Macaca mulatta: one gene and its partners. The protein of the gene in region 2 purifies or fractionates together with the protein of the main gene of each other region. This does not show direct contact. Links are inferred from orthologs where the notes say so. Each region holds a gene or a part of one and is shown on either strand. Other genes may lie near its edges.

Region 1 (10,924 bases), on a different chromosome or scaffold from region 2:
TGGAGAATTAACTGAGGGCTGTAGAGAAATACTGATGCAAGAGTGATAGAAGCTGGTTGGGCACGGTGGCTCACGCCTGTAATCCTAGCACTTTGGGAGGCCGAGGCAGGCGTTTTGCCTGAGCTCAGGAGTTCGAGACCAACATGGGCAACATGGTGAAACCCATCTCCACTAAAAAATATAAAAAATTAGCTGGGCATGGTGGTGGGCACCTGTAATTCCAGCTACTCAGGAGGTTGAGGCATAAGAACTGCCTGAACCCAGGAGGCGGGAGAGGTTGCAGTGAGCCGAGATCATGCCACTGCACTCCAGCCTGGGCAACAGAGCTAGACTCTGTCTCAAAAAAAAAAAAAAAAGGAAGGAAGGAAGGAAAGAAAGGAAGAAAAAAGTTATAGGGCCAGGCGTGGTGGATCACGCCTGTAATCTTAGCGCTTTGGGAGGCTGAGGCGGGTGGATTGCTTGAGCTCAGAAGTTCGAGCCCAGCCTGGGCAACACAGTGATACAAAAAATACAAAAAATTAGCCAGGCGTGGCGGCACGCGCCTGTAGTCCCAGCTACTCAGGAGGCTGAGGCAGGAGAATTGCTTGAACCTGGGAGGCAGAGGTTGCAGTGAGCTGAGATCACGCCACTGTACTCCAGCCTGGGCAACACAGTGAGACTCCATCTCTACTAAAAATATAAAAAGTTAGCTGGGTGTGGTGGTGTGCACCTGTAATTCTAATTTTTGTATTTTTAGTACAGACGGGGTTTCACCATGTTAGCCAGGCTGGTCTCGAACTCCTGACCTCAGGTGATCCACCTGCCTTGGCCTCCCAACGTGCTGGGATTACAGGCGTAAGCCACCATGCCTGGCCAAGAATCATCTTACATTTGCTGAAATGGCCAGGCATGGTTAGGTGCACCTGTGGTTCCAGCTACTTAGGAAGCTGAGGTGGGAGGATTGCTTAAGCCCAGGAGTTCAAGTCCAGTCTGGACAACATAGTGACACCCTATCTCTCTTTTTTTTTTTTTTGAGACGGAGTCTCGCTCTGTCGCCCAAGCTGGAGTGCAGTGGCTCGATCTCGGCTCACTGCAACCTCCGCCTCCCGGGTGCACGCCATTCTCCTACCTCAGCCTCCCGCGTAGCTGGGACTACAGGAGCCCGCCACCACGCCTGGCTAATTTTTTGTATTTTTAGTAGAGACGGGGTTTCACTGTGTTAGCTGGGATGGTCTCGATCTCTTGACCTCGTGATCCGCCTGCCTCAGCCTCCCAAAGTGCTGGGATTACAGGCATGAGCCACTGTGCCCGGCCAACACCCTATCTCTTTTAAAAAAAAGAAAAAAAATCGGGCTGCAGTGTTGTAAGTAGCGACATATGTGTATGATTGCATTTCTGAATATAATCTTTCTTTAGAATTATACATGGGACACAAATCACCAACACAGCACGAACTCATAGCTACTGTGTACAGGACACAGCTGTACACATGAGGTGTGTATCTAACCTTCTGAGCAATGTCAAGGCAACTCAACTGTGTTCCATGTTATCTCTCTGCGCTAACTTCACAAGCTAGTCCCTGTACAAGACATACCTCCACTGTGTGTGTGTATGTATGTGTGTGTGTACATATATATATAAATGATAAGACTAAAGACACGTACATGATTACTGTAGCTGAACTAGCTAAAGAGTCTGCTTCCTGCTTTTTTGTTTTTGTTGTTGTTTGAGACAGTCTTACTCTGTCACCCAGGCTGGAGTGCAATGGCGCAATCTGGGCTCACTGCAATTTCCACCTCCCGGGTTCAAGCGGTTCTCCTGCCTCAGCCTCCTAAGTAGCTGGGATTACAGGCGCCTACCACCCTTCCCAGGTAACTTTTGTATTTTTAGTAGAGGCAGGTTTTCACCACATTGGCCAGGCTGGGCTCAAACTCCTGACCTCAGATGATCCGCCTGCCTTGATCTCCCAAAATGCTGGGATCACAGGCGTGAGCCACTGTGCCTGGCCTGTTGTTGTTTTTTGAGACAGAGTCTTGCTCTGTCACCCAGGCTGGAGTGCAGTGGCACAACCTCAGCTCACTGCAACCTCTGCCTCCCAGGTTCAAGCAATTCTTCTGCCTCAGCCTCCCGAGTAGCTGAGATTATAGGCGCCCACCACCAAGCCTGGCTAACTTTTGTATTTTTAGTAGAGATGGGGTTTCACCATGTTGGCTGGGCTGGTCTTGAACTTCTGACCTCAGGTGATCCACCTGCCTTGGTCTCCCAGAATGCTGGGATTATAGGCGTGAGCCACCGTGCCCAGCCTGTTTTTTTTTTTTTTTTTTTTTTGCCTTTGTTCATAATCAAAGATCAGTCCTGCTGCCATAACAGCTTTGTTAGTTCTGGGTCAGAACATCTGGCTTCTATGACTTACTCAACCAGTGTCTGTTGAATTTCTCAGCTAAACATGGAAGCATCTATTTCCAGATGTGGAAGATAAAAGTGCAAAGGGGGCTTGAGGCCCTTGAGAAATAGGAGTCACTCAACTGGGGCTTAGGAGTTAGGGTGGTTTTTTTTTTTTTTTTTTTGAGATGGGGTCTTGCTCTCTCACCCAGGCTGGAGTACAGTGGTGCAACCATGGCTTACGGCTTACTGCAGCCTTGACCTCCTGGGCTCATACAATCCTCCCATTTCAGCCTCCTCAGTAGCTGGGACCACAGGCACATGCAACCAAGTCCCATTAATTTTTTGATGTTTCTGTAGAGACAACGTTTTGCTATGTTACCCAGGCTGGCCTAAAACTCCTGGGCTCAAGAGAGCCTTCTTCCTTAGCCTCCCAAAGTGCTGGGATTACAGGAATGAGCCACCTCGCACAGCTGGATTGGGGGTTTTGTCAAGATTTTCAGTTGACACTGCTGAGAGTGAGCCAGATTCTCTTTTTCATGGAGAGGAGGCCAGAAAGAGGCAGAAAGCAAGCTGGCAGATCAGTCACAGAGAGCCCTAGGACTGGAAGAGCCAGGATTTCTCACTTGAGTTTCTTGAAGGAAAAGCTTTATCATCCGGGTGCAATTAACAATAGCATTCCCTGGCCGCGTGCTTGTGATTCAAAGTGTAATCCCAGCACTTTGGGAGGCTGAGGCGGGCAGATCACTTTCGGTCAGGTTTGAGATCAACCTGGCCAACATGGTGAAACCTCATCTCTACTAAAAATACAAAAATTAGCCGGGCATGGTGGCTCAAGCTTGTAATCCCAGCTACTTGGGAGACTGAGACCACAGAATCGCTTGAACTCAAGAGGTGGAGATTGCAGTGAGCTGAGATCGCGCCACTGTACTCTAGCCTGGGTGACAGAGTGAAACTCCATTTCAAAAAATAAATAAAATAAAATAATAATAATAATAATAGCATTCCCCTTTACTGTGTTTTGAGTATCCTGATTAGGCAATAAATTGTATGGTCATTCCTATCTATGCTCCACCTCTGAAATAGGGAATCCTTCTTCCTTTCTTTCCCTGGATCGGAGCAAAGATAAAGAACTTAGATTCAAAACTTCAGTGCCAATATTTCTACAAACTGGCTGGGTGACCCTGGATAAATCACTCCATTTCTATTAAAAGATGACCAGCAGAGGCTGGGCACGGTGGCTCATACCTGTAATCCCAGCATTTTGGGGGGCTGAGGCGGGCAGATCACCTGAGGTCAGGAGTTCGAGACCAGCCTGGCTAACATGGTGAAACCGCATCTCTACCAAAAACACAAAAATTAGCTGGGCGTCATAGCAGGCACCTGTAATCCCAGCTACTCGGGAGGCTGAGGCAGGAGAATTGCTTGAACCCGGGAGGCGGAGGTTGCGCCACTGCACTCCAGCCTGGGGGACGAGAGTGAGACTTCGTCTCCAAAAAAACAAAAAAAGGAGCAGCAGGTTGAATTTAGCCTTTCTGCCTCTAATTCTATAAATAAGTAAAGTCACAGGGCAGGGGCTTCCTAGGAGAAGTACCAGATAATGACCACACAACCATTTTTAAATGCAAGGAACACAAACAGGCTGATTGAAACCTGATCTCCTGCCGCCTGGGAGCTGGGAATCCCTCAACCTATTACTTCCTTCCATTTCCTCCTGGCTTTTAAATTAAATCTTATTCCACAGTGTCATTCTACACTTTATTTATTTATTTACACGCTGCCCTGTTCCAGAAAGGATTTAACTCGGCTTATTCTATAGTTAGCCACAAGTAGACTGCTTAATTTAAAAAGGAGCAAGACAGACCGGGGAGAGAGAGACCCACTGGCCTACCCGAAGCACATCCACATCTCACTCTATCAGCCCCAAGCTAGTCCAGGTGACCAGCTTTGAGGGCCAAACACCCACCTGCCCCCGAAAGGCACTAGTTAGCACATCCTGGCTTCACAGGCCCCCAGATCGCTACCTCCTCGGCTACTGCCTTTTCTCTTTTAACCACCAAGTAGAAAAATGGCCTAATGGAGTACTTCTTTCTGAAAGCAGGACTTGCATTTTAGTGGTGCCAAGGCTCCCTGGGTGACCTTAGATTTTGGATTTGTACAGGCCTTGACTTGAAAGGTCTTTTGCGCTTTGTGGCTCCTGTCTTCTCATCTGTGAGATGAGAGCCATGTCCACCTTTAAGTCACACAGATTAACAAGTACATCTGCAGAAGCACCTTGGAAAAGATGTACAGGAGGCTGTGACCTCCGGGCTCCAGGTGACTGTTTGAAGCTGGAGCCTGTCACAGCTCAGCCCAACCCACTCACCCTCCAGACTAGGTCAGACCATCAAAAGCAATGGAAGCTTGGCACTGATTATCCAGCTATATTAAAAAAAAAAAAGAAAAAAAAAAAAGACCGGGCGCGGTGGCTCACGCCTGTAATCCCAGCACTTTGGGAAACCAAGGTGGGTGGATCACTTGAGATCAGGACTTCGAGACCAGCCTGGCTAATGTGGTGAAACCCTGCCTCCAACTAAAAATACTAAAATTAACCGGGCATGGTGACAGGTGCTGGTAGTCCCAGCTACTCGGGAGGCTGAGGCAGGAGAATTGCTGAGATCGTGCCACTGCATTTCAGCCTGGGCAACAGAGCAAGAGTCTGTCTCAAAAAAAAAAAAAAAGAAAAAAGAAAAAAAAGAAGAAAGAAAAAGCGAGGGAAGAACTGCTGTAGTAACTCAGTTGGAAATGGGTGGGCAAACCTGGAGAAGCAGCTAATACCTGCCTGGCTATGCCAGCCCTCAGATCTCAGTGTGTTTATCCAAGTCCACAGAAGAGGGTGGGGAAGGGGAGCTGGGGAGACCAAGTTCCCCTCAAAGACGGTAGCATCCTTTCCCAGGGGGAGCTCAAGCATAGCAGGGGTTGGGCCCCAACGAAGGAGGAACCAGGTTCCAGGGTATGTGCAATGGCAGAAAAGCAACAGCAACTGGTGCGGGTGGGGTTGTTGAAATATTGGCAGGTTGGGGAGGGGATTGGTGGGAGACAAATGGGAAGATGGGGGCGAGGGCGGTCCTGAAAAGGGGTTGAGGGGTTTTCACAGCGAAAAACGGTTACTGGTGGGGAGCGTCTTCACGGTGAGGAGGGAAAGGAGCTTGCGTGAGAGATCTCCATAGGGAAAATAGCAGATGGCTAGGATTTCCCCCGGGGAAAATGGGAAGGGGCTGGACATTCGGAGTCTCCAGAGGGAAAATGGGAGGTGTGAGTATCTCACTAAAGAGGGAATAAGTGGGCAAAAATGGGTGGGTGGCTAAAGCGCGGGTCTTGCCACAGGGAAATCACGGTGGCTGAAGATCTCCGTGGCTTAAGAAATGGAGGCCAAGAAGATCTCTCCATGAAAACGGGTACCTAGGAAGACCTCCAGATTAAAAAGATGGATGAGGTTTCCCACGCGGGAAGTGGGGCTTGACTGGGGTTAATCTTTATGGGGAGGTCGGGGCGGGCAGTGGGGGAAGAGGTCACGGGGAGGTCCGAGTTAGCTAGCTGGGGGTCTCCACCCGGGAGGTCAAGGCGGGCAGTGGGAGAGGAGGTCACGGGGAGGTCCGAGTTGGCTGATGGCGGGGAGTCTCCACCCGGAGATCGGGATTGGCGGAAAGGGGACGAGGGGTTTCATGGGGGAGATCAAGTTGGCCATGGGAGCGCTTCTCCAAGGGGAGGCCGGGGTCGGCCCGGGGGTGGGGGTCCCCGCACGGGCCCAGCCTCACCGTCCGCCAGGGCTTCACTGCACTCGAAGCTGATCTCGAACCGGAAGGGGCTGTGGAAAGGGCTCGGGTTCTCCAGGACCGCCACGTTCAGCACCGACACCTTGGCCATCGCCTCGCCTCGCCTCGCCTCGCCGCGCCGCGCCGCGCCGCAGCAGGGGCAGGGGCAGGGGCAGGGCTGTGGCTGTGGCGGAGGCCGCGCCTGGGTCCGGTGAGTGGGGGGGCGTCAGTGGGGTACGGCAGACCAAGTCCACTCCCGCCTCTTCCCTCCGCGGACTGAAGTGCGCACCTAAACCGCGGACCGCCTTCAAATAGCCGGCCTCCGCCCTCTGGCCAATCACCGCCAACGCTCCCCTGGCGGCGCGCGCACCCCCTCAGCCAATCCTGGAGCGCCAGTCGGCGCGCGCCCAGACTCCCCGGACCAATCAGCGGAGCTCCCTCTCCGCGGCGTGTGAGGAGGGCGAAACCATCTCCAGGCTTCTTAGCGTGTCCGCTGGGAACCAATCCCCAGCGTCTCCGACTCGGATGTCAACGGCGGGAGTGGACGGAGTCAGAGCGCCGGACTCCTTCTGCCCAATCCTGAGGGTTCCCGCACCGGCGTAGCCCGCCCCTCGCCTCGCTTTTCCGGGAGCTGCATCCCGCACCGCGCAGCGCCGCCAACCGCCGAGCGGTGGCGCGCGGCGCTCGCTAAAGAAGGCGGGAAGGGCGGTGCTCGCACCCTCAGTGATTGGCAGGAGGGAGTGGGGCGGAGATAAAGAGGGTTTTCTGAGAGTTGATTGGCTGGATTGGTAATAGTGCCGGGAGCAGAATGAGGCTCAGCTGGGGATTCGCTGGAGAGAAGCGGAAGTCGAGCGCCGCCGCGGTGCTGGCGAGTGTGAAAAAAGAGGAGGAGGGTTGCGCCCTCAGCGTCTGTCAACAGGTGAGCGTAGTCTGGAGCTTTTCTGAGTGGCTCCTGACCCTTGAGGTCCAGCGGCCCTGGAGTCCGTTGTGAACGTTGCGAACGTTCGGAGTGGCGGTCACGCGGCGCGCTGGGACCTCGGGAGTCCAGCCCGGTTCGGATCCCGCTTTCGCCCACGAGGGGTTCGAATCCCGCTCTCGCCCCCGAGGGGTTTGGATCCCGCTCTCGCCCCCTCAAGGGCTCTTGGAAGGTTTCAAGCAGACGGTACTGAAAATGGGAGTTTCAGTTCGGGGGCAGACCAGTGTTCGAGTCCGGGCTCTGCTACTCAGCTCCTGAGGCAGCGTCTCTCCATTCAACGGGGGCAGTGGCAATTCCCTGACATGATTCATGACCGCACAATACATCCGGAAACTTCTCTCCGCCGCATCCCGTCGCCCCCGGCCTGGGAGACTCCAGGTCGCAGAGTCTCTGCCCCCACGGGCGATCAGCTCTACCCAGTGGAAAAATAATGCCAGCCGCGCACCTAATTTTACATTTTTTGGAAACCACTTTTTTTTTCTTTGAGACGGAATCTCGCTCTGTCACCCAGGCTGGAGTGCAATAGCGCGATCTCGGCTCACTGCAACCTCCACCTCCCGGGTTCAAGCGATTCTCCTGCCTCAGCCTCCTGAGTATCTGGGATTACAGGTGACCACCACCACAACCAGCTAAATTTTTTTCTGTATTTTTAGTAGAGACCGGGTTTCACCTTGTTGGCCAGGCTGGTCTCAAACGCCTGATCTCAAGTGATCCGCCCGCCTTGATCTTCCAGAGTGCTGGGTTTACAGGCATGAGCCACTGTACCCAGCCATATCTTTTTTTTTTTAATTTAAGATTTACTTTTTTTTTTTTTTTTTTGAGACGGAGTCTCGCTCTGTCGCCCGGGCTGGAGTGCAGTGGCCGGATCTCAGCTCACTGCAAGTTCCGCCTCCCGGGTTTACGCCATTCTCCTGCCTCAGCCTCCCGAGTAGCTGGGACTACAGGCGCCCGCCCCTGCGCCCGGCTAATTTTTTCTATTTTTAGTAGAGACGGGGTTTCACCATGGTCTCGATCTCCTGACCTTGTGATCTGCCCACCTCGGCCTCCCAAAGTGCTGGGATTACAGGCGTGAGCCACCACGCCCGGCCTAGTTTTTTTTTTTTTGTATTTTTTAGTAGAGACGGGGTTTCACCGTGTTAGCCAGGATGGTCTCGATCTCCTGACCTCGTGATCCGCCCGTCTCAGCCTCCCAAAGTGCTGGGATTACAGGCTTGAGCCACCGCGCCCGGCCAAGATTTACTTTTTTTTAAAAAAATTAAATTTTAGAGGCTGGGCATGGAGGATTTCTTGAGGCCAGGAGTTCAAGATCAGCCTGGGCAACATAACAAGACCTCATATTTACAAAAATATAAAAGAATAAGCCAGGTGTGGTAGTGCATACCTGTAGTCTCTGCTACTCCTGAAGCTGAGGCAGGAGGATCTCTTGAGCCCAGGATGCTCCAGCCACTGCACTCCAGCCTGAGTGTCAGAGTGAGATCCTGTCTCTCAAAATTAAAATTAAATTTTAGGCCGGGCGCGGTGGCTCAAGCCTGTAATCCCAGCACTTTGGGAGGCCGAGACGGGCGGATCACGAGGTCAGGAGATCGAGACCATCCTGGCTAACATGGTGAAACCCCGTCTCTACTAAAATATACAAAAAACTAGCCGGGCGCGGTGGCGGGCGCCTGTAGTCCCAGCTACTCGGGAGGCTGAGGCAGGAGAATTGCGTGAACCCGGGAGGCGGAGCTTGCAGTGAGCTAAGATCCGGCCACTGCACTCCAGCCTGGGCGGCAGAGCAAGACTCCGTCTCAAAAAAAAAAAAAAAAAAAAAATTAAATTAAATTTTAGAAAAGAAAGTTCAGTTTAGGTGTCTTGATAGCCACAGTTGAGTGCTCCTGAACCCCTGTGACAAGTGGCTCCTGTATTACTGGACAGTGAAGGTCAAAAACACATTTGACCAGGTCACTTCTCAGGATGAGAGCATTGTCTTCGAAACTATGCTTTGTCTCCTCTTAACTACCTAGCTCCAATTTCAAACCAGCCTAAGTAACCCTCTTTTTGTTAAAAATCTGACAGGCCACTCCCAGTGCAAAGCTCTGCCCAGAACCTCTTCTTCTGGGCTCTTGGCTGGCTTATGCCTTCTCGTCATTCAAGTCTCTGTTCAAATGTCCTCTCCCCAGAGAGGGCTTTCTAAGGGTGCCCTGGACAGTGTTCAAAATCACAGGCCGTAAGCCTGAATAGCACTGATCAAAGGCACTAGTATTTCTTACCTAGTCACCTCTGGAAACAATCCAGTTCCTGTGGGATTTTTTTTTTTTTTTTTAAACAGAGCTCTGTTTCCCAGGCTGGAGTGAAGTGGCATGATCATGGCTCACTGTAACTTGGAACTCTTGGGCTCAAGTGATCCTCCCACCTCAGCCTCCCAAGTAGCTGGGATCACCAGTGCGTGCCACCATGCCTGATTTGTTTTACTTTTTTTTTTTTTTTTTTTTTTTTGAGAGGGAGTCTTGCTCTGTCACCCAGGCTGGAGTGCGGTGGTGCGATCTCGGCTCACTGCACCCTCCTGCTTCTGGCTTCAAGCGATTCTCCCACCTCAGCCTCCTGACTATATGGGACTACAGGCACACGCTACCTTGCCTGGCTAATTTTTGTATTTTTAGTGAAGATGGGGGTTTCACCATGTTGGCCAGGCTGGTCTCAAACTCCTAACCTCAGGTGATCCACTCGCCCCAGCCTCCCAAAGTGCTGGGATTACAGGCATGAGCCACCATGCCCTGCCTGTTTTACTTTTTAAATTTTTTGTAGAGACAGGGTCTCGCTGTTGCCCAAGCTGCTCTTGAAACTTCCGGCCTCAAGCAGTTCACCTATCTTGTCTTTAAATGCTGAGATTACAGCGCCTAGCCCATTTTTTTTGGTGTGTACATCTCACATTAAGAAAAAATTTTTTTAGCTGTTAAAAAAAATTGAAAGCTTTTTAATATTCTTTTGAAATTATTTGGCTTCAAGGAAGCTCACATTTATGATTCCTTTGATTTCTTGGCAATCGTTGCATACTTGGGGATATTTGTGATTTGAGAAAATCTAATTTCCAAATGTAATTCGATTGCTTATGAATACTAAATTTAATGATTAATGCAGTTGTCATGATGTCATATTTCTAGATGCTTATTTAAATATTTATTCATTCCAACTTTGTAGTTTTATCTTTGCATTGTGGAACTTTTTTCCCTTTATCCCTATCCCTGACCTTTTCATAGCCCCTGAGAAGCTCATGAGCCACCAGCATTATTTCCGTGGCGCTAATGAAGAAAGTGGCCCTGTCTATGATGCATTCTCCTTACAGCTGGCTGAATGATCTTCACTTGTAAACCAGATCATGTCATTACTCTGCTTAAAACCTTCAAAGGCTTATCCTACTTAGAATGAAACCTAAGATCTTTCCTATGGCTTAGGCTGCCCTGCGTGGTAGCCTCAGCTGACCTCTCAGGCCTCATCTACCATTCTTCTTGTCACTGCTTTCAAGCCCAGCTGGCTTTATTCCCCTTCTTTCAACACACCCAGCTTATTTCTGCCGCAGGGCTTTGCACTTGCCGTTCCCTCTGCCTGGAATGTGCTTCCTCCGGATAATTGCATGGCTGTCTCATTCTCTTCGCTGTGGTTCAGCTCGAATGTCCTCTGAAAGAAGACTTCCCAAAGTACCCTATTTAAAGTACCCTTTCTTGGCCGAGCACGCTGGCTCATGCTTGTAATCCCAGCACTTTGGGAGGCCAAGGCGGGCAGATCGCGAGGTCAGGAGATCAAGACCATCCTGGCT
Region 2 (10,722 bases):
ATTATTTTTCACTTGTTCTAAGTGTAAAATTTTAGCAAATTTAGAGCTGTGCCACAATCTAACTTTCAAACATTTCCATCATTCCCAAAAGAAACGTCAGGCCCATTTGTAGTTACTCTGTGCTCCTACCTCTAGCCCCAGGCAACCACTACTTTCTGTCTCTATGGATTTGTCTTTTCTGAACATTTCATACAAACAGAATTACTTAATATATAGTGTTTTTGTTTAGTTTCTTTCACTTAGCACAATCTTTTTAAGGTTCATTGCAATAGGTATCAGAATTTCATTCCTTCTTGTTGTCAAATACTATTCCATAGTATAGCTATACTATATCCATTTACCAGCTGATATATATCTAGGTTTTTTACATTTTTTTGCTATTGTGAATAATGCGTCTATGAACATTCATGTACAAGTTTTTGCATGAACTACATTTTCATTTCTCTACCGTAGACAGATACCTGGCAGTACAACTCCTGGGTCATATAATTCATCTATGTTTAACTTCTTAAGAAACTGTCAAACCAGGAGGGGTGCTGTGGCTCACAGCTATAATCTCAACACTTTGGGAGGCCAAGCCAGGGGACTGCTTGAAGCCAAGAGTTCAAGATCAGCCTGGACACACAGAAACGTAAGGTCCATCTCTATGAAAAAATTTATAAGTGGTGGCTCATGCCTGTAATCCCAGCACTTTGGGAGGCCGAAGTGGACGGATCACCAGAGGTTGGGAGTTCGAGATCAGTGTGACCAACATGAAGAAACCCTGTCTCTACTAAAAATACAAAAAATTAGCCGGGCATGGTGGTGCATGCCAGTAATCCCAGCTACTTGGAAGGCTGAGGCAGGAAAATCACTAGAACCCAGGAGGTGGAGGTTGCGGTGAGCTGGGATTGCACCACTGCACTCCAGCCTGAGCAACAAGAGCGAAACTCCATCTCAAAAAAAAAAACAAAAAAAACCAAATTTATAAAAGTTAGCCAGGCTTGGGTGGTGCACACCTATGGTCTCCCAGCTACTTGGCAGACTGAGGGAGAAGGATTGCCTGATGCCAGGGGTTGGAGGTGGCAGTGAGCTATGACCATGCCATGGCACTACAGCCTGGGTGACAGAGTGAGACCCTGTCTCTTTAAAAAAGAAAGAGAGAAAGAAAAAAAGGGGGGGAGGGGAGGAAAGGAAAGAAGAGAAGGAAGGAAAGAAAATAAAAAAGACAAAGAAAAGAGCCAAACTGTTTTCCCAAGTAGTTGTATCACTTTACATTCCCACCAGCAATATACAAGTGTTTTTTCCTACATCCTCACCAATGTTTGCTATTGTTTATTATTCTTACAGGCAAAAACGTTAAAAATATTTTTAAGAAGCTGAAACTATACATACTTACTACTTTTTGCCCCACCGTCTTTCCTTTTTACATAAAATTCTGTCACCTTTCAAACGTCTACCCCTTCCATGACATAAATCAAGACTGAATAAAATCTGAGTATGTTCAATAAATGCAGAAAACTATACATTTGCATAAATAACTGCTCTTACATAAAATTTTACTTCAAATTTAAAATGAAAGATTATATATACACACACAGTATGTACATAATATTACTTAGAAATGGCATACATACCTAATTTTAGTTCAATTGCTGTGTTGGTGTTACATTTGTACTCTGCCAGTTTCTTCTCCACTGCACTCTTATATTCTACCAAAAATTTCTCCATAGCACCAAATCCTAAGAGAAAAGGTTTTTAAAACGTTTAATTGGAAGTGATTTAAATCGTCCAACTTACAATAGGGTTATTAGAAGTGGAATAGGGGTATGATTTAAAACATGCTGACAGATCATAAAAGCACAAGTCATTCTCCACATACTCTTAAATAAATGTATTAAGAATGCCAGCCGGGCACGGTGGCTCACACCTGTAATACCAGCACTTTGGGAGGTCGAGACGGGTGGATCATGAGGTCAGGAGTTCATGGTCAGCCTGGCCAAGATAGTGAAACCCGTCTCTACCAAAAATACAAAAATTAGCCAGGCACGGTGGCAGGTGCCTGTAATCCCAGCTACTTGGGAGGCTGAGGCAGGAGAATCTCTTGAACCCGGGAGGCAGAGGCTGCAGTGAGCTGAGATCACGCCACTGCCCTCTAGCCTGGGCGACAGAGCAAGATTCCGTCTCAAAAAAAAAAAAAAAAAAAGGTGCCTCATTACAAAACAGAAAAAGAAATCACTTTTGAGATACAAGTTTATAAACTAGGCATACTTAATATAAATGAATAAACCTGAAAATTAACATGATAGATTACTAACATTTCTGAACATTTACTAATACAAATAATCTGCTAAGATTTATACCTAAGTCGTCTTTTTCATTATAAGATGTAAAAAGCAAAATGAGAATGTCCTCTGATAATTATGACAGTACTTCATTTTAAGTATTGGAAAAAGTCTACCAGAGTGCTTCAGATAAGGAAATGATAATGCATGGAATGTCTCAAGAAGAATACACAAATATCTGGTAACCACAGTTACCCTAGGTAAGAAAGAAGGAAGAGGAACAGGGGCACAAAGAAAACATCTTTCCACTGTATTAAATATTTAAAAATCATGTGTGCCTAAAGTCATAAACTGTGAGCTACTGGCACAATAAAGTAGTTTTACTACAAAGTGGTTACTCAATAATATATATAATAAATAACACTAGAAGATATCACTATCAAAAGAAACTTTCAAGGTAACAAATCTCCTGACAAAATGAATATAAAGATTAGTAAAAATGGGCCCGGCGGCCGGGCGCGGTGGCTCAAGCCTGTAATCCCAGCACTTTGGGAGGCCGAGACGGGTGGATCACGAGGTCAGGAGATCGAGACCATCCTGGCGAACACCGTGAAACCCCGTCTCTACTAAAAAATACAAAAAAAAAAAACTAGCCGGGCGAGGTGGCGGGCGCCTGTAGTCCCAGCTACTCGGGAGGCTGAGGCAGGAGAATGGCGTAAACCTGGGAGGCGGAGCTTGCAGTGAGCTGAGATCTGGCCACTGCACTCCAGCCCGGGCTACAGAGCGAGAGTCTGTCTCAAAAAAAAAAAAAAAAAAAAAAAAAAAAAAAAAAAAATGGGCCCGGCGCGGTGGCTCACGCCTGTAATTTCAGCACTTTGGGAGGCCAAGGCAGGGGGATCACGAGGTCGAGATGGAGATCATCCTTGCCAACATGGTGAAACCCCATCTCCACTAAAAATACAAAAATTAGCTGGACGTGGTGGTGCGCGCCTGTAGTCTCAGCTACTCCAGAGGCTGAGGCAGAAGAATTGCTTGAATCTGGAAGGCAAAGGTTGAGGAGATCGCACCACTGTACTCCAGTCTGGTGACAGAGCAAGACTCAGAGTCTCCGAAAAAAAAAAAAATTAGTAAAATTTCAGGCAGAAAAAAGCCATAAGCAAAAAGTAAAAATGGGTACAATGATGTGCTAGATGTGCTATGAACTTCAATAAGGGGTTAAAACACACACACAGAAAATGGGAGACTTGAAGCAGTATAGATTAATAGTTTGGAGTCAGAATTTCTGGATTCTGACTATTTCACACACTTACTGAGCTAGTGAGCTCAGTGAACTAGAGTACATTACTTAATCCCGCTGACCCTAATCTACAGAACTAAGATTACAGAATTTACTTCGAGGAATGTAAGCAACAAAATTTAACCTGCGAAATCATATATTAGCTTAATCCGCACAATTCTGTAAGTAGGTATTATATCAACTCCACTTTATATTCAGAAGTTCAGGCTTAGAAAGAGGTTGAGTTGAAGGGCATCCAACTACTAAATGATGGGCCCCAAATTCGAATTTAGATGTAATTCTTAACGTATGTCCTCCCTCTTCTGTTGTACTTCAAGATCCTACAATTTCTATCTGGTAAAAAGTCCTTCTTTGAACATCTCTAGAGCTCACACAACAGCTCATCTATCCCACATATCCATAAAAATGGAGACTACGAGGAATGCCCTGTAAAGAGATGATAAAAGCAACAGAGGCCAGCGAAGTGGCCCAATCCTGTAATTCTAACACTGTGAGAAGCAGAGGCGAGAGGATGGCTTGAGGCCAAGAGTTCCAGACCAGCCTGACGCAATACAGCCAGACCCCGTCTCTAAAAGGTTTTTAAAAAGTGTTTTTTTTAGCCGAATGTTGTGGTGCATGCCTGTAGTCCTAGCTACTCGGGAGGCTGAGGCAAGAGGATAGCTTGAGCGTAGAAGGAGTTGGAGGCTGCCGGGAACTATGATTGTTGCACTCCAGACTGGGCGACAGAGAGACCCTGTCTCAGGAAAAAGAAACTGTCCATAACTTCAAAAGATAAGTAATCGAAAAAAATAATCACACCAAAACAGCCTTAATACACGTACAAAGTAATAGCAATTATACATTATTAAATGTTGTAAGTTGAAGGGACGCTAGAATGTACTCAAGAGAATTGTATTATAGTAGTCCAACCCTAAAAGAGAAGGGAGGAGTTCAGGAACAAAGTCTTTCTCAAAAGGCATCTAAATACGATCCTCGGAATACTAAAGTGTGAGAGATTAAGGAGACGATTATGAAGTCAGTCGAGATCCAAGTGGGAGCGCTAGAGCAGGGCAAGTCAGCAATGCGCTAGCTCAGAAGTTGACTGTATTGGAAGGTAGACGGAGACCTGGAAGAGGAGGAGATCTGAGCATTAAAATCAGCTGGCGGGAACAGGACCAGATGTACAAGATCTGAAGCAAGCAGCAGTGGACAAAAGGAATGGGAAGAGAAACAGGCCCCAAGGCATGTGGCATTTTACAAGCTCAAATCTTGACGCTTTCCCCCGGCCTCTTCGGCCCTCGGTAGGGGCCGGGGTGCTCGCAAAAGGCGCAGAACCCCAAGCAGCTGGGGGCGGGGGCGCGGACCGCGGCCAACAGGGAGCTGCTGGGCTGAGAGTTCCGCGCTTCCGGTCCCAAGCAGGCCTTCTGGAACCCAGGCTACAGCCCGAAAGTTCCAGGCGGGCATTGTCACCACCGTCTCAGCGTTCTATCCCAGATCTGGCCGCCTCCTCCCCTTGGTAAACTTTTCCCGGGAACTTACCCGCCATTTCCGAGCTACGAGCACCCGCGGCTGAGGAAGGACGAATCAACCCGCGCGCTCCCGGGCCGGAAGTGACCGCACAGTCTGACACATTGTCCCCGCCCACTCCCAGCGTGACGTTAGCCAATTAAAGGAGGCGTGTCCAGGAGCCCGGCGGCGGAAGCGCCTCAGGAGGCGGGGCTAACGCGGAGAAGTCTGCACGGGCCGTTAGCTGTGCGAATTGCCTAGCCAGTGCGAATGCTGTCGGCCGCTTTGCAGGCCTGAAGTGGAGAAGGAGGCCGCAAATGAACCTTCGCGGTTGAGATGCTCTCCGGACCTAGGAAAGTTTCTCTGGGGTTGATTTGATCAATACAGACAGTTTACGCCTGTTTTCCTTACCCGTCCCTGAGATGTTTTGGAGACTGGCTGAAAATCTTTCCTCTTGGCCTGGACAGTGCATCCAAACACTTGAGACCTGTGGGCAATTTTACCCTAGGTAAGATTTTACCTAGGGTAAAATGTAGAGGTTGAGTCTCAGTTTCGGAAGAAGTTTTCACTTATTTTCCTCCTTTGTTTCTCATTTTGCTGTAAACTTTAACATCTTTTTTCCTTTCTCCCCTGTTTTTAACGTATACACTATGATATTTAGGTACTCTGCTTTCACTCTTCAGGTTAGTAGGCAATCATTTAACGCGGAAAAATCGTTACCTAGGCCAGGCGCGGTGGCTCACGCTTGTAATCCCAACACTTTGGGAGGCCGAGGCAGGTAGATTGCCTGAGGTCAGGAGTTCGAGACCAGCGTAGCCAACATAGTGAAACCCCGTCTCTACTAAAAATACAAAAATTAGCCAAGCATGGTGGCGGGCGCCTGTAATCCCAGCTACACGGGAGGCTGAGGCAGGAGAATCGCTCGAACCCTGGAGGCAGAAGTTGCAGTGAGCCGAAATTGCGCCACTACACTCCAGCCCGGGAGACAGTGAGACTCCGTCTCAAAAATAAATAAATAAATAAATAAATAAATAAATAAATAAATTGTTAACTAATAAATACCTAAGTGGCCTGATGTAGTCTTGCATGCCACATGTTCTAGTGGTTTGAATTACATCACAAGGTGCTACCTGATTTTAGCCGTAGGCCTTGTTAGTATTTAGTAGCTGTTGGAACTGTTTTGCCCAGAGGATAAAGCACTGTTTAGGTATCCACAAATATTCCCACAATGTTGGCTATACACCAGAATTCCTTGTCTCAACAAATATTTGTTAACAGGTTTTACACTGATGCATGCTAAAGCTAAAATGGACCCTTGGGATGATGGTCTAGAAGTAACACGCCTTCTCATTTTAGAGATAAGGAAACCAAATCCCAGAAAAGATAAACTGCCCAAGTTCTCTCTCAGAATGCAACCTATGCAGAGTGCAGTTCATCAGATACTCAGCCCAGTATTTATTTGCTGAACGATACAGAGATGGCTTTCCCGAAGATAAAGATCAGAAAAGGTACTGAGAATGCCCAGATCCTTTTTCTTTCTTTCTTTTTTACTTTTTCTTTTTTCTTTGAGACGGAATTTCGCTCTTGTTGCCCAGGCTGGAGTGCAATGGCACAATCTCGGCTCCCCACAACTTCCGCCTCCCGTGTTCACGCGATTCTCCTGCCTCAGCCTCCTGAGTCGCTTGGATTACAGGCAGGCGCCACCACGCCTGGCAATTTTGTCTTTTTGTAGAGATGGGGTTTCTCCATGTTGGTTAGGCTGATCTCAAACTCCTGACCTCAGATGATCTGCCTGTCTCGGCCTCCAAAAGTGCTGGGATTACAGGTGTGAGCCACGGCGCCCGGCCAGATCCTTTTTCTTGAAACCTAATGATACACAAGAAATTACAGTCATAATGTTAAGACAGAAAACTGAAATCAATGGGACTAATGACATTATGGATCAAAAAAGGAAAACAATCTTTTTCTTTAATAATCATTTTTGGCCAGGCACGTTGGCTCACACCTGTAATCCTAGCACTTTGGGAGGCCAAGGCAGGCAGATCACCTGAGGTCAGGAGTTCAAGACCAGCCTGGCCAACATGGTAAAACCCTGTCTCTACTAAAAAGTACAATAAATTAACCAGACTTGGTGGCATGCGCCTGTAATCTCAGCTACTTGGGAGGCTGAGGCAGGAGAATCACTTGAACCCAGGAGGCAGAGGTTGGAGTGAGCTGAGATAGCGCCACTGTACTCCAGCCTGCACAAGACAGCGAGACTCCATCTCAAAAAAAAAAAAAATCTTTTCTTTTCAAAACGGCAAGACTCATCATTTCTTTCTGAAATCACCGTATCTATGGATCAATTGCTGATCAAAAGCAATTATGTTCTTTATAAGTAAGAAATCAAGAAGAATTACATTTTAACTGTGGTATATCACAGATTATTAGTCCTGTGATATTATGGTTGTAGGGAAAAAATATGATGAAACTTACTGATACATTGTGTGACTAGCATTTAATGTGATCTGCTTGCAAAATTGAGGTTTTATATTGTCCTCGTATTAGAGGTTCACTTTTTTTTTTTTCAGATAGGGTCTCACTCTCACCCAGGCTGGATTGCAATGATGCAATCATAGCTCACTACAGCCTCCAGCCTCCAACTGCTGGGCTCAAAAGATCCTCCTGCCTCTCAGCTTCCCAAATAGCCAGGACTACAAATGTGTGCCACTGTGCACAGCTAATTTTTTTGTTTTTTGATAGAAATGGAATCTCAGTATGTTGCTCAGGCTGGTCCCAAACTCCTGGCCTCAAGCAATCCTCTTAGCTTGGCCTCCCAGAATCCTGGGATAATAGGCATGAACCACCACGTCCATCCTCACATATATTTTTTTAATGTTACAGAATAGATGTTTTGGTACAGTTTACCTAGAAGATAAAAGAATGACTTATTTTGGAAAGGTAGTGGTAAAATTATCCAAAAGGAAAAAACATTCTCTTTTTTTGTAGGGATTTCTTTTCTTTTTTTTTTTTTTAACTTATATTTTACTTTGTTCTAAAGGGAATTTAAGAAAGTGACTATTACAATCATGGAATAAATAAAATTTCTACAAAAGGAATATGCTGTCCTCATATATATGGAAGAGACAACATATCTTGTGGGAAATTTAGTGCTCTACTAGTCCCAGTTCTACTACTTCATGCTTGTTCAACCTTGTTCCATCTATTAAGTGGAGATAATAGTACTGCCCAGTCACCACACTGGGTTGTTGTAAAAACCAAACGGAATATTTGTGAACGAGCTTTGTAAACTCTAAAACTCTATGTAGGTATGAAGTGGTATTACTATGATAACATTTATTGTAGTAAGGGAGATTTGGCAAAGGCATTTTCTTCAGAGAAAAGGGCCATATTACACTATTAGGTATGAAGCAGCAACCATGTGTTGGTACAGGCTCAAGTTCACGTGGACTGATAAATTTCACTATCTTGCTTTGAAACCTCCAGAATAGTTTAAAATTTGGCGTAAAAAATATGGTCATCAGGCCAGGTGCAGTCGCTCACGCCTGTAATCCCAGCACTTTGGGAGGCAGAGGCAGGCGGATCACAAAGTCAGGAGATTGAGACCATCCTGGCTAACACGGTGAAACCTCGTCTCTACTAAAAACACAAAAAATTAGCTGGGCGTGGTGGCAGGTGCCTGTAGTCCCAGCTACTCAGGAGGCTAAGGCAGGAGAATGGCATGAACCTGGGAGGCAGAGCTTGCAGTGAGCCAAGATTGCGCTACTGCACTCCAGCCTGGGAGACAGACTCCGTCTCAAAAAGAAAAAAAAAAAATGGTCATCAGAAAATTGATGCAGGAAATCTAAGACCTAAAAGAAAAATGCATGTATGTAATGTGTCTTCATTTCAAAATACATACCTTAACACAGACAAGTAGTTAGCTCATTTTTTTAGCTTATAGTGCTAATGAGGGTAAAGTTATGAGTTTCAGTTCCCAAAGCAATTATCCAGAAACCATTATCCTACATGACTACATGACTTCCAAATGGGATACAAGAAAGAAAATAGGCTGGGTGTGGTGGCTCACATCTGTGATCCTAGCACTTTGGGAGGCCAAGGCAGGCAAATCACATCAAGTCAGGAGTTCAAGACCAGCCTGGCCAACATGGTGAAACCCTGTCTCTACTGAAAATACAAAAATTAACCAGGTGTGGTGGCATACGCCTGTAATTCCAGCTACTCAGGAGGCTGAGGCAGGAGAATTGCTTGAGCCCGGGAGACGGAGGTTGCAGTGAGCCGAGATCACGCCATTGTACTCCAGCCCGGGCGACAGAGCAAGTCTGTCTCAAGAAAAAAAAAAAAAGAAAGAAAAGAAAAATGGACCAGCTCATGTTGAAAACTACTATAAGAGGAATATCCTAAATACACAAAAATTACCAACAGTTTTTATTTTCTAACTCTAATACGCTACCCATAGGTGTATAAATTAGTACCTTTTGAGGGGCAATTTAGAAATTTTAACAAATTTTTACAAATGTAACAAAATTTTCAATTTGTATATCCTTTGAGGCAACAACAGTTCCACATTTGTACTGCAAAACTATTTCACAGAAATGGAAAGATACACTAAAACAAAGATGTTCAATGCTGTATTATTTTCACTGGCAAATTGAAAATAGCCTAAACTAGCACAAGGGGCTAGCTAATATATTCTATCTCCGATACAATAAGTTAAAAAATAAATTACAAAATATATGTTATTTTGTTTGTATAAAAATGCATTTTATATAAACAGAAAACATCTGAAAGCATCCCTCACAAACTTAACTATAGTTGCCTTTAGGGGGAATTTAGATATGGGGATTAATGAGGTTTTTTGTTTTTGTTTTTGTTTTGGAGACAGAGTCTGCCCAGGCTGGAGTGCAGTGGCATGATCTCAGCTTACTGCAACCTCTGCCTCCTAGGTTCAAGCAATTCTCCTGCCTTAGACTCCCGAGCAGCTGGGACTACAGTGAACACCCACCACCAAGCCCAGCTAATTTTTGTATTTTTAGTAGAGGTGGGGTTTTACCATGTTGGCCAGGCTGGTCTCGAACTCCTGACCTCAAGTGATCTACCTCCTTGGCCTCCCAAAGTGCTAGGATTATAGGCGTGAGCCACTGCACCCAGACTAATGAGTTTTCTTTCTTCTTTAATACCATTTGTCTCTTTTAATGATGATGTAATGGTTTCTTTCACAGTTAGAAACTTATCCATCTGACTGGGCGTAGTGGCTCACACCTATAATCCCAGCACTTTGGGAGACCGAGGTGGGCAGATCACCTGAGGTCCGGAGTTTGAGACCAGCCTGACCAACATGGAGAAATCCCATCTCTAAGAAAAATACAGAATTAGCCAGGCATGGTGGTGCATGCCTGTAATCCCAGCTACTTGGGAGGCTGAGGCAGGAGAATCACTTGAACCCAGGAGGCGGAGGTTGCGGTGAGCCAAGATTGCACCATTGCACTCCAGCCTGGGCAACTAGAGCAAAATTCCGTCTTAAAAAAAAAAAAAGAAAGAAACTTATCCATCTTTTTGGAGGTTTTTAGACATGGTTGCTAATTCCCTACCCTCTTCTCTACATTCGACATATGGTACACAGACTCTAAGGGAAGCCATTTAATCAAAACTAGGAACAATTAGTTGAAAACTAAT
Region 3 (10,681 bases), on a different chromosome or scaffold from region 2:
AACAGATTAAAAGTGAATGCAGCAGAAACAGAGTTATTTAACCCAAAAGGAAAGGGATAACAGTTATAATAGATAATATAGTCTACTTCAAAACATATGTGGCATACACATTTACCAAGATTAATCTTACCTGAAATACAAACATATGCCTTCCTGCAGGAACAGGGCCCACTAAAACAGAGTCTAAAACTTGATCGTATTCTTCACTTTCTGCAGAGCCCACATAGATAATTTTCCATTCCAAGTCTAGGGTTAAAAAACCAAAGCATTACTTCATATTCAGTAATTACATTACCAGATGACATCAAAGACCCTTTTAATGTCCACTTAGCCACTTACTGGCTGTTAGGCTTCTCATGGCAATCCAGAAAGGCAGTGAAATGCTCTTTATAAAGTTCTTACCAGAGTTCATACTTTATATCAGAGTTTCTCAAAATATTCTTTTGTGAAACACTAGTTCCTAGACAGTGCCTCACAAACAAGGTAACATAGCCAAACACTTGGGAAATGCTGTAAACCTTGAGGATTCATAAAGCACACTGGCATAGTAAATTTTCTGAGACATCCTTCAGTAAAGAATACCAGTAACATTAATCCAGCATTTCCCAAATTTATTTGGCTATGGAATCCCCTTTTTTTGTATGTCATCTTTTAATGTCCTCCTCAACACACTTTGGAAGGGCAGCCCTATACTATGTTGCAGAGATCTAAATAATCACAGAGCTCCAAAGTAGAAAAATTATTAGTAAAACCTCCCTTGTGGCTCAGAAGTAAGTGGCTTCAGTTCATCAACTGTCTAAAGGATGACGATGGGGTTTTTCCCTTATGGCACCCCCGTGTCGTACATTCTTTAAATTGGGAAGAGGAAACCAAGATCTTTACACCACGTGATACAATAGAGTATACACAGCGGAGATAGGCAGGAGGAAAAGACATTCATTCAGGTGCAACTCAAGGCGTTACATGTAATTCAATATAGTAGATTTTACTGAGCATGCTTTACAATGTGTTCTGTGAAGTGAACCCAGAGATGAGTAGAACTCTTTGGAGGAGTCTCCTGTTTAGTCGGGGAAGAAGATAACTTTGTAATACAAACCATCTCTGAGAGACCTCTTCATATTCTTTACGTATTTTGCACTGTGGGGCCTGCCTCTTGCATTCAACACACTGTTACATAAGCACTCCCAAAGGGTGAGTTTCTGGGTCACTTATGACAATCTAGTTAGTGCCATCATGTGTTGCCGTTTTTGTGTAACTGTAGATAATTTTGTTCCCTAAGTTGATAATAGAAATAGTAACGTACTGCTCATTTATATTGTATTGTAAACTACAATCAACTGAAAGGTCCTTTTTTATTTTCTCTTATTAAGTCACTAATCACTTTCTGAGGACCTATTATGTCATGGCTCTGTCCTAGAACTAGACCATTTATATTTCCAGCTTCCAGCACATTTCCAGATGCAGGGTGCTGCATCTGACATCTCCTGAGATCATCTGTTGATGGAGATAGAGAGGAAATAGACAATATAAGTATCTCATCAGAGGGAACGGCAAATACAAAGGCCAGAGGTAGGGTACACTTGGCAAGAAAAAGCAAGGAGGCCAGGGCTGGAACAGAATGAAAGCAAGGGGGAAAGCAACTAACCCTATAATTGAGGATGAGGGGAACAGCCAGATCATGCGGTTTTGAAGGCCATCATAAGGACTCTGGCTTTCACACTGAGTGGCATGGGAAGCCATCGGAGGGTTTTGAGCAGAGCAGTAACAGGAGCCAACTTTCATTTTTTTTTTTTTTTGAGATGGAGTCTCACTGTGTCGCCCAGGCTGGAGTGCAGTGGCACAATCTCCGCTCACTGCAAGCTCCGTTGCCTCCCAGGTTCATGCCATTCTCCTGCCTCAGCCTCCCAAGAAGCTGGGACTACAGGTGCCTGCCACCACGCCCGGCTAATTTTTTTGTATTTTTAGTAGAGATGGGGTTTCACCGTGTTCACCAGGATGGTCTCGATCTCCTGACCTCGTGATCCGCCCACCTCGGCCTCCCAAAATGCTGGGATTACAGGCGTGAGCCACCACGCCTGGCCCCAACTTTCATTTTAAAAGGAATGCTTTGATTGCTGTGTTCAATATAGAATGTAAGAGGACAGGGAAGAAACAGAATATTTCAACAATTGAGGCAAGAAATTATAGTGGCATGGACCTCATGTGGCCATGGGGCTGTGCAACAGTTATATTCTGGATACAATTCTTAAGATGAAAGCAGCAGGAGCCACTTTTGCAGGGGGGTGACATGGGGTGGAGGAACAATCAGGAGTTCATTTTAGACATATTTGAGATGTCTGCTATCTAAGTAGAGATACTGAATAGGCAGGATAAAAATTTGGAAACTGTCAATGATATGTTAAGCCGTAAAAATACATAGGCTTGCTCTAAGGAATGAGATTCAAGACCTCCAAAGATAAGAGGACAAATAAACAAAGTAAGTTACAAAACAAGTGGCAAATGAGGTAGGTGACCCAAAAAGCAAGTGAAGAAACTGTTTTAAGCAAGTGGTGTGAAAGGCACTGAACTAGCCAAGTGAGGATAAGACTAAGAATCATCACATAGAGTGGCTGGGCACAGTGGCTCACGCCTGTAATCCCAGCATTGTGGGAGGCTGAGGTGGCTGGATTGCTTGAGGTTAGGAGTTTGAGACCAGCCTGGCAAACATGGTGAAACCCATCTCTACTAAAAATACAAAAATTAGGAGTGACACATGCCTGTGGTCCCAGCTACTCGGGAGGCTGAGGCACAAGAATCGCTTGAACCCAGGAGGCGGAGGTTGTAGTGAGCCGAGATCGCGCCACTGCACTCCAGCCTAAGCAACGGAACAAGATTGTCTCCAAAAAAAGAGAAAAATTATCACATAAAGGTTTTCATAAATTTTAATTTTATATATAATTGTACCACTACATATAACGCCCCTGGATCCTAAGTGGTATAAATTGGCATTTGTGGACTGGCATAGGAACACAGCCATAATTTATAAACCTATTTTAGAACATACCTACTATATGCTGGGTATTAGTCCTGCCACTTCATACCTATTGTTTAAACCTCAACAGCTTCATCATATGGATCAAATTATCACCATTATGCAAATAAGTTGAGACTCTGAGAAGTAAAGTAATCTACACAAATTCATAGTTTGTACATCAAAGAATCAGAATCCAAGCTATGCCTACAAACCCCGGGCTTCTTCTGAAAAGCTAACTAGGAAGATAAGATAAATTCTTTCTAGCTCTGAAGTTAGCAGTGGAATAAGGGAATTTATTTGCAGGGGAAGTGAGAGCAGAGGCGATGGTGAGATAATCTTGCTTTAACAAGAATAGGCTGCAACTCAGGGAACACTTGTACATTGATTTTTATGTTTATGGGATGCTTGCTATAGTTACTGAGTTTTACATGCTCAGTACTTTTTTATACATGAGCATCAGTTTTTTTTTTTAAACCCAGCTTTCATTTAATTCCTCTGCCCCCTGTATTTGAGGGAGAAAAGGTAAGGTCAGATGCTTTACATAAGTTCTCAGGTGAAGAAATCTGTTCATTTATTTTAACGTTAACTTTTATTTAATCACAGTAATCATGATTAAATGATTTACCCAGCCTGAAAGTATTTCCATTTGTGGTGAGAGTGAGTGAATGAGGGAAGTCATCAAGGGAATTTTTAGCTAATTACACTACTTGGGAAGACCTGTGGTCTAGTGGAAAGTATGTAGGCTTTGGAATTAGAACAAGCTGAAGCTGGAAAGTCTGAAACACCGTGCTCAATTCTGGTATAAGTATTCAATTGAGAGTAGCTGTAATTAAGATTATATGTAAATTTAAGAATGGCAGGATGGTCAATCAAAACTTGTACAGGCTTGGTAACCATCAAGCACATCCAGCCAGGATCTCAGGCTGTCTTAACCCCTGATATAAGCCCTATATTAGAAAGAATCAAATTATGTTAAGACCAGATATTCCTCACAGCTTTTTCTGAAGCAAAGCTACAGAGCAGCTCTTAAAGAAAAGTAAATGTTTGGGGGCTATTGACGAAAGTATGAAAAATGGTGGCCAAACTCTGCTTTGAGACTTGAGGCAAAATAACTTACAAAGAAAATTCTTTTCAAAATATTCTATAGTTTGGGCTGGGTGCAGTGGGCTCACTATAATCACAACACTTTGGGAGGCAGGGGTGGGAGGACTGCTTGAGCCCAGGGGTTTGAGACCAGCTTGGGCAACATGGCAAAACTCCATCTCTACAAAAAATTAAAATATTAGCCCAGTGTGGTGGCACATTGACTATGGTCCCAGCTACTCAGGAGGCTGAGGTGGGAGGATTGCTTGAGCCCAGGAGGTTGAGGCTGCAGGTAGCTGTGTTTGCACCACTGCACTCCATCCAGCCTGAGTGCCAGAGCCAGACTGTCTCATTTAAAAAAAAAAAAAAATTCTATAGTTTAAGAACAGAATTTTTAAAAGAACTATAATATAAAAGTATGGAACCTATAAGAAGCCTTTGCTAAGTAAACTCAATTTCCTTAATCCACATAGCCTCTAGGTGGAGTATACAGGCATGGCACCTTTTTGAAAGATTCCTTTGCAGCTTCAGTATGACTCAGCTTAAAATATTTTTTAAAATACTAAATAAATGCTCAGTAATGGTGCCTAGGAAGTGAAATATACCATTGGAAATAAGTATATTTTTGATACCAGTACTGTAAAACCCTGATGTGATTCAGCTGGGTTCTGAATGGATCCCAGTTAAAAATGGAACCTGTTTTGGCTTTATGAATGGCTGGTTTCATCTATGCAATGTAAAAGCCCTGTAACGACATCCTGAGTCATCTATCTTCTTTGTTCAGAGCTGACTCCTAAAATGGAAGGCATCACTTGAGAAATACCTGTAATTTGAAGAACTTCTGGTGGTATACTTGAAAAACACTGTGGTGTAAGTTGGAATGGACCGATCAATGGTTTTTCTTTTGTCTATTTTTATATGCAGTTGGCAATAAAAAAAAAAAAAAATTACTGACTGTTGGGTGTGAAAAATGGGCCTGGTAGCTGCAATGCTTATATTAATAGTAGTATCATACAGATGACTTCAGAGTAATAAGAAAAATACCCCTAAGTGTTATCAATGGCCTATTTGAAATTATTTTAATAAATGAATCATCTTTCAAAATTTGCCCTATATATGTATGTGCATTTATACTCTATATAGGTTTACCAAAAAAAAAAAAAAAAAAAAAAAAAACCCCACAGAGGGGCACATGTTAAAGTAGTAATTGTGATTACCTAAAGGAGATAGGGGAAGGCATTGAGTACAGAGAACTGTTAACTTTATATATGCCTGTACAACTTTCTAAAAGTTTATTACAATGATATATATTGTTTTATAATTAAAATTAACCTTACATATGATACATACATTTTAGAGATTAAAAACTAGTTTTTAAAATGAAAAGTTTTACATGCCACGATTAGCCAAATCATCTTCAGAGCATTTTAAAAATACACTTCTAGTTCAAAGAAGTATGCCCCTCATCGATGAAGTTAAACTATTTCCCCTTCAAAACTGGCAAATGAAGTACTGAATTACTTTAGTAAAATATAATTAAAGCAAAGATAATTGTTGTTTTAGCTTTCTAAATATTTATTACTAAACATATTAAGAATACGTATTTTTAAGACCTTAAAATATATGTAGAAAAAATACCAGGAATTCTTGGACTGACATGAGTTGTTTACCTTAATTTCCTAGCCTACGTTTGTGTTTTATGTTTAGGGTGTGTTCTGCATCTGGATGTGGAGTTATTTTACATTTCAACACGCTCTTGAAGAAAGTCTTCTTTCAGACTATTTAGAAGGCAGAGATTAAGTCCTGGAAATTATTTAAGTATCTTATTTCTGCTCTTAGGTTAAATGTAACTTCCTAGCTCAGCTCTCTCTCTCTTCCTGAGATTAGCTTTTCGTCATTAGGGGAAAGGAGTCCACGTTGGTTGGGGAGCCTGCGCGCCAGCATCCCGGCGCATCCCGGGCACCGGCCGAAGAGGACCGGCCGAACAGGACCCGCGGCCCCCGGGGAGTGCCGGCGCCCAGCCCGCGGCGCGGAGGGGCCGAGCCTGCGCCCGCCTCCCCCGCTGGTTGGTCGAGGAAGCCAGAAATCAGCGCGAGGACAGCCTCGCTCTCCTCCCCGAAGCGGCCAGGCATGGCCAGCCCGGAGAGTGCGGCGACTCCACCGTGAGCTCTCGAGAGTTACTGCCTCCCTTTCGCCGGGGGCAGGCGGGCGAAGGGGCAAGAAGAGGCGCCGTGCGCCGGGGTCGCTGGCCCAATTCTCGACTGGGGTAAGATGGCTCCGCTCCGAACTCGCCGGCGCGACCACACGCACAGCCTCTCCCTTCCCAGCCTCCGTGCCCGGGCCCGGAGGGTCGCGGAAGCTGTTGGCGGCGCTAAGCCAGCCCGGCGCGACCCCAGGAGGCGCCGCGGGCGCGAGTGCGGGTCTCCGAGCTGCCCGCCCGCAGACAAAGCTGACAACATGGCTTCCTCCGCTCAAACAAGTTCCTCGCAAGTTGAGCCCGGCAGGCGCCTGGGCTGCGGCGGAAAGCCGCGCGCGCCTCGGCGGCCGTCGACCATCAACTTGAAGTTTCCCTCCGCAGAGCAGCCCGCGGCCGCCAGGCGCCGAACACAGCCGCCCAGCGCGAGGCCGGGCCCGGGAAACTTTCAACGTCTGCAGCCCGCAACTGACAGCCCGGGCGCACGGGCGCCGCACTCACCTTCAGACAGGTCCTCGATGCACTCGAAGGTGATCTCGAACTGGAACGGGTTGTAGAAAGGAGAAGGGTTATCCAGCACCACTACATTGTTCACCTGAACCTTTGCCATATTTTGAAAAAAACACAAACAATGGGAACTGGGGCTGGTTGCGGCACAATAAAGTCCAGCGCGCGGCCGCTCGGGAGAGCGCAGACCCCCGCCCCAGCGCCGGCCCGACGTTGTGCAGCGGCGACTTGAGAAACTTTTTTTTTCCTCTTTTTATTTACACGGGAGCACTCCACAGTGTTTTGCAGCTTTCCTATTTCACTAAACTACAGCCCATTCTGCTCTGATAAGTAGCAGCGTTGCCCTCGATTGGCTGCACCCGAGCTCTGACCCTCCTCCTCCAGCGAGGGCCTCGGCAGCCAGCAAGATGGGCTCCCGCTCCCGGAATGGACTCGGAAACTTTAACTGCGGCTCCACCTGCTGGTGTGGATTAGGACAAAGGCGGAGAACAAAGTGAGTGGAATAAGGGCTGGGAGGCCCGCGCGGAGGCCGCCGGCGGCGGCGCGGAGAGGGGCGGCGGGGGCGTGGCCGCGGCGGGGAGGCGTGGCCGCGGCGGGAGGGCGCGATTCGGCCGACGCCCGCCCCTCCGGTTGGCTTCGTGTGGGTGTTTTGGCGTTTTTTGTTTTTTTGTGGTTTTTTGTGTTTTTTTTTTTTTTTTTAATTTTTTAACGCTCTTTTTACATCATTGCAACAGCTTTGCCGGCCTTGCTGAATTTAGCAGATGAGAATCGGTGTTTACACTGGGTTAGGTTCAGCTTTCTGTGTATCGGGTAGTAGTTGGAGTAGAGAAAAAGATTGCCTGCAGGGGAAATAAATTGCATGTTATAGACCGATGTCAGCTCGAAAGGAGCAAAGCCATTTTGGAAATCTAGCTCTTGGCCAGTATCTACGTTTAGGCACGACAGCGCCGTTAAGCAACACAAAATGAAGGGCGAGGAATGATTTTCCACACACTGTGCTTGGAAAATTTAAATAGGTAACCTTTGGGCTTACACCTGGGCGTCTTCTTCGGAGTCCAGATCTGGAAAGTCCTAGAATAAGAAAAAAATCACAAGAGGTGTGATCAGTTATACCCTAGGTTACTGCCATTGGGAGAGCATAGCAGGAACATAAAAGGAGAAAATGGAAGTGTCAGGAGACCAACAGGGCAACACACATAATAGAGATGGGGAAAAGAACACGAAGACATAGCAAGACATTTGATCTTCAAAAAAATTTCTGACCTAAACCATTAGTAAAGCAAATTCTGAGGAGCCCTTGCTTGCCTGTAACCAGTTGAGATCTGAACTGAGGAAATGTTGATTCGTTTATGCTGTTTGACTACCATTGCGGGGAAAGAGAAAGCTTTAACACATTTGTGAGCCTAAACCGTTTCTATTACTAGTAAGTGGTATAAAGATTTGTTTTTATTACCTGCTATCCATAAACCGTCACTTTTTTCCTTAAATGTTGTGAATGAAACCACCAAACTTGGCCAAATTCAGAGAGAAAATTAATTCTGAAGTATCTGCTCTGGAAGAGTTTTCTCTTAGGATAGTGCCCAGAATGTTGATTTGTCATTCTTTGGGCATTGTTCATACTTAAGTAGGTGGCTTTTGATGAAACGTTTTCATCTGATGGTCTTTTGAAAGTTAATGTGAGACAGCTAATGTCAGCCCCTCCTACATTTAGGAAGACCAGTTAGAGTGGGGAAGAGTTCCCTTTTTTTGTCATGGATTGAACAGTTAGATATAGGACCTACCAGGAAAGACTTCTTCAAGCCAGTTGTTTGTGACATTAGAGTATTAAGAGTCAAACCATGGTGATAGACACAGATTTTTGTGACTGATAAACCATATACTCTTCATTGTTATTGGTGCTGGTTCTAACACTAGCTAAGATAAAGTGGAAATTGCTATATGCTGTAAGACACTCTGTATGTGTAAGGTAAAATGACCATTTGAAGATTAAAACTCCTGTGAGACTGGTGTATGCAGCTCTGTGATTATTACAGGTACTCTTAAGAGGAGAGTCTAGTCATTCTCATAAAAATGACATTTTATGCTTGTTAAAATCAGGTGCATTTTGCAGTCTGACCGTAAGTGTTACAGTGAGACTCGTTATAAAACTCACTTTTGGTGGATGTGCAGCATGAAGGACTGAGAAGATCTACCTGGATACCACTAATTTGGCTTATTTTCTTTGAAACTTTTCGTTTAACACGTCATATACCATATACAACAGTATTTAAGAAGAAAAGATTCCCCGACATTTCACTGGAAGCTGCAAGAATTAGCTCCAGGCTTCTCCTGTCTTAACTCTTGTATTATTGCTTGTCAGAAATACTAAAGGGTCGTTGAACACTTTGTTCAATAGTTTCCTCACCATTGACACTACCTTACTCCAGGAGAGATCCAAAAGGATTCCTCAGATATCTCCTGGCATATTTCTAATTTAACTGGTATGCTGTAGGAAAAAAAGAATTGTGAAAGCCTCTGTCTGGTTTCAGAGGCAATCAATAGGACCTGTTGCTGAACAACTTTGATGACTCCCAAACAGCTAATTGTACAACAGATGGGTCACTGTGAATATCTTCCTTTATTAAGTACCCAAGGGGGTCCCACATGATGTTTGGAGGGCTGCATGGAATGTAATCCTCCAGTCGCTTCTCACTATGGGTTACTTGGGGGAAGGATGGTGGCTAAGAGAGATTTTATCAGCTCTAAGATGAACAAAGCCTAAGCTAGTGCTTAGGGCAAAAATAAATGAAACTAGTTACTTGTTGTTTTAGACTGAATTATGTCTCCTCCAAATTCGTATGTTGAAGGACTAATCCCTGGTACCTCAGAATGTGACTGTATTTGGAGATTAAGTTAAATGAGGTGGTTAGGGTGGGCCCTAATCTAATCTCACTGGCATCCTCATAAGGGGAAATTTAGATTTACAGAGAAGCACCAGGGTCACACGCACATAGAGGAAACACAGCAAAAAGGTGGCTATTTGCAAGCCAAGCAAAGAGGCTGTAGAATAAACCAAACCTGCCAACACTGTGATCTTGGATTTCTAGCTTCCAGAACTGTGAGAAAATAAATTTCTATTGTTTAAGCCACCCAGTGAGTGAGATTTTGTTATGGCAACTCTAACAACCTAATATAGTTGTAAGATATTTTTCCCCTCAGAACTAAACTTATTTGAGAATATAATCTTACTGAATCCAAATATTGATCAGTTCCCAAACACTTCCTGTGGGTGAAATGACGTGGTCGTTCAGCCATGCCAGTGAGGGTGTGGCATATGTGGAGTGGTGTGCTGTTGCCATTCTTTAGAGGAAGTATATACCACTGGGCATATAGCTTGAATTCTGAAGACACAAGATGCAGCTTCCTTGCATGGATTCACGACTCTTCTACAGAGAAGTGAAACTTGAAGTCAAGTTGAGGTCATACACAAAACGAGATGAAAGAGCGAATTCAAATATACTAGAATTGAATTAAATCAAAATGTGCCGAATTAAAATATATTAGAACTAGGAATTAAATTGAGTGTCAGCCCCTGCCTACTGCAAAAGTTATCATAGGAATGGAAGTACTAATCTCTAGCTTTTGTTCAAATCTAGATTTCCACCTGGGGTAATTATACTATCACTGTGTTGAATTATCTTCTCATTTGTATTATTACCAACTTAAAAATTTTTCTCATGTAAGGCTTGTTTTAATATGGTCTTTAGTTAGTTTAAAAGGCTCCTTTTTATTTATTAGAAATAGGTCAAAATTTAATGATAGTTTTAAATAAAATTTTCTGTATAAATGTAGACTAGAGATTTGATGGAGTCCATGGACATTTCTAAATGGAGTAAATTGTACAA

Evidence for each region.
Region 1: the proteins of HAT1 (region 2) and ASF1B purify together in Homo sapiens (affinity purification with mass spectrometry; 6 studies listed by BioGRID and IntAct, counting the BioPlex papers as one, with this or other methods). This does not show direct contact. The link is inferred for Macaca mulatta from reciprocal best matches to the Homo sapiens genes HAT1 and ASF1B.
Region 3: the proteins of HAT1 (region 2) and ASF1A purify together in Homo sapiens (affinity purification with mass spectrometry; 4 studies listed by BioGRID and IntAct, counting the BioPlex papers as one, with this or other methods). This does not show direct contact. The link is inferred for Macaca mulatta from reciprocal best matches to the Homo sapiens genes HAT1 and ASF1A.

The regions. Positions count from the first base shown.
Region 1 is NC_133424.1:14,717,800-14,728,723, forward strand, and holds the start of ASF1B (histone chaperone ASF1B), read right to left. Parts: upstream 6,881-10,924; 5' UTR 6,268-6,880; coding exon 6,159-6,267; exon of another isoform or gene 6,059-6,158; intron 4,816-6,058; exon of another isoform or gene 3,821-4,815; intron 2,580-3,820; exon of another isoform or gene 2,282-2,579; intron 1,077-2,281; exon of another isoform or gene 591-1,076; intron 1-590. UniProt on the Homo sapiens protein: Histone chaperone that facilitates histone deposition and histone exchange and removal during nucleosome assembly and disassembly. Cooperates with chromatin assembly factor 1 (CAF-1) to promote replication-dependent chromatin assembly.
Region 2 is NC_133417.1:76,834,702-76,845,423, reverse strand, and holds the start of HAT1 (histone acetyltransferase type B catalytic subunit), read right to left. Parts: upstream 5,153-10,722; 5' UTR 5,087-5,152; coding exon 5,080-5,086; intron 1,722-5,079; coding exon 1,617-1,721; intron 1-1,616. UniProt on the Homo sapiens protein: Histone acetyltransferase that plays a role in different biological processes including cell cycle progression, glucose metabolism, histone production or DNA damage repair. Coordinates histone production and acetylation via H4 promoter binding.
Region 3 is NC_133409.1:23,857,077-23,867,757, reverse strand, and holds the start of ASF1A (histone chaperone ASF1A), read right to left. Parts: upstream 7,241-10,681; 5' UTR 6,901-7,240; coding exon 6,792-6,900; intron 247-6,791; coding exon 131-246; intron 1-130. UniProt on the Homo sapiens protein: Histone chaperone that facilitates histone deposition and histone exchange and removal during nucleosome assembly and disassembly.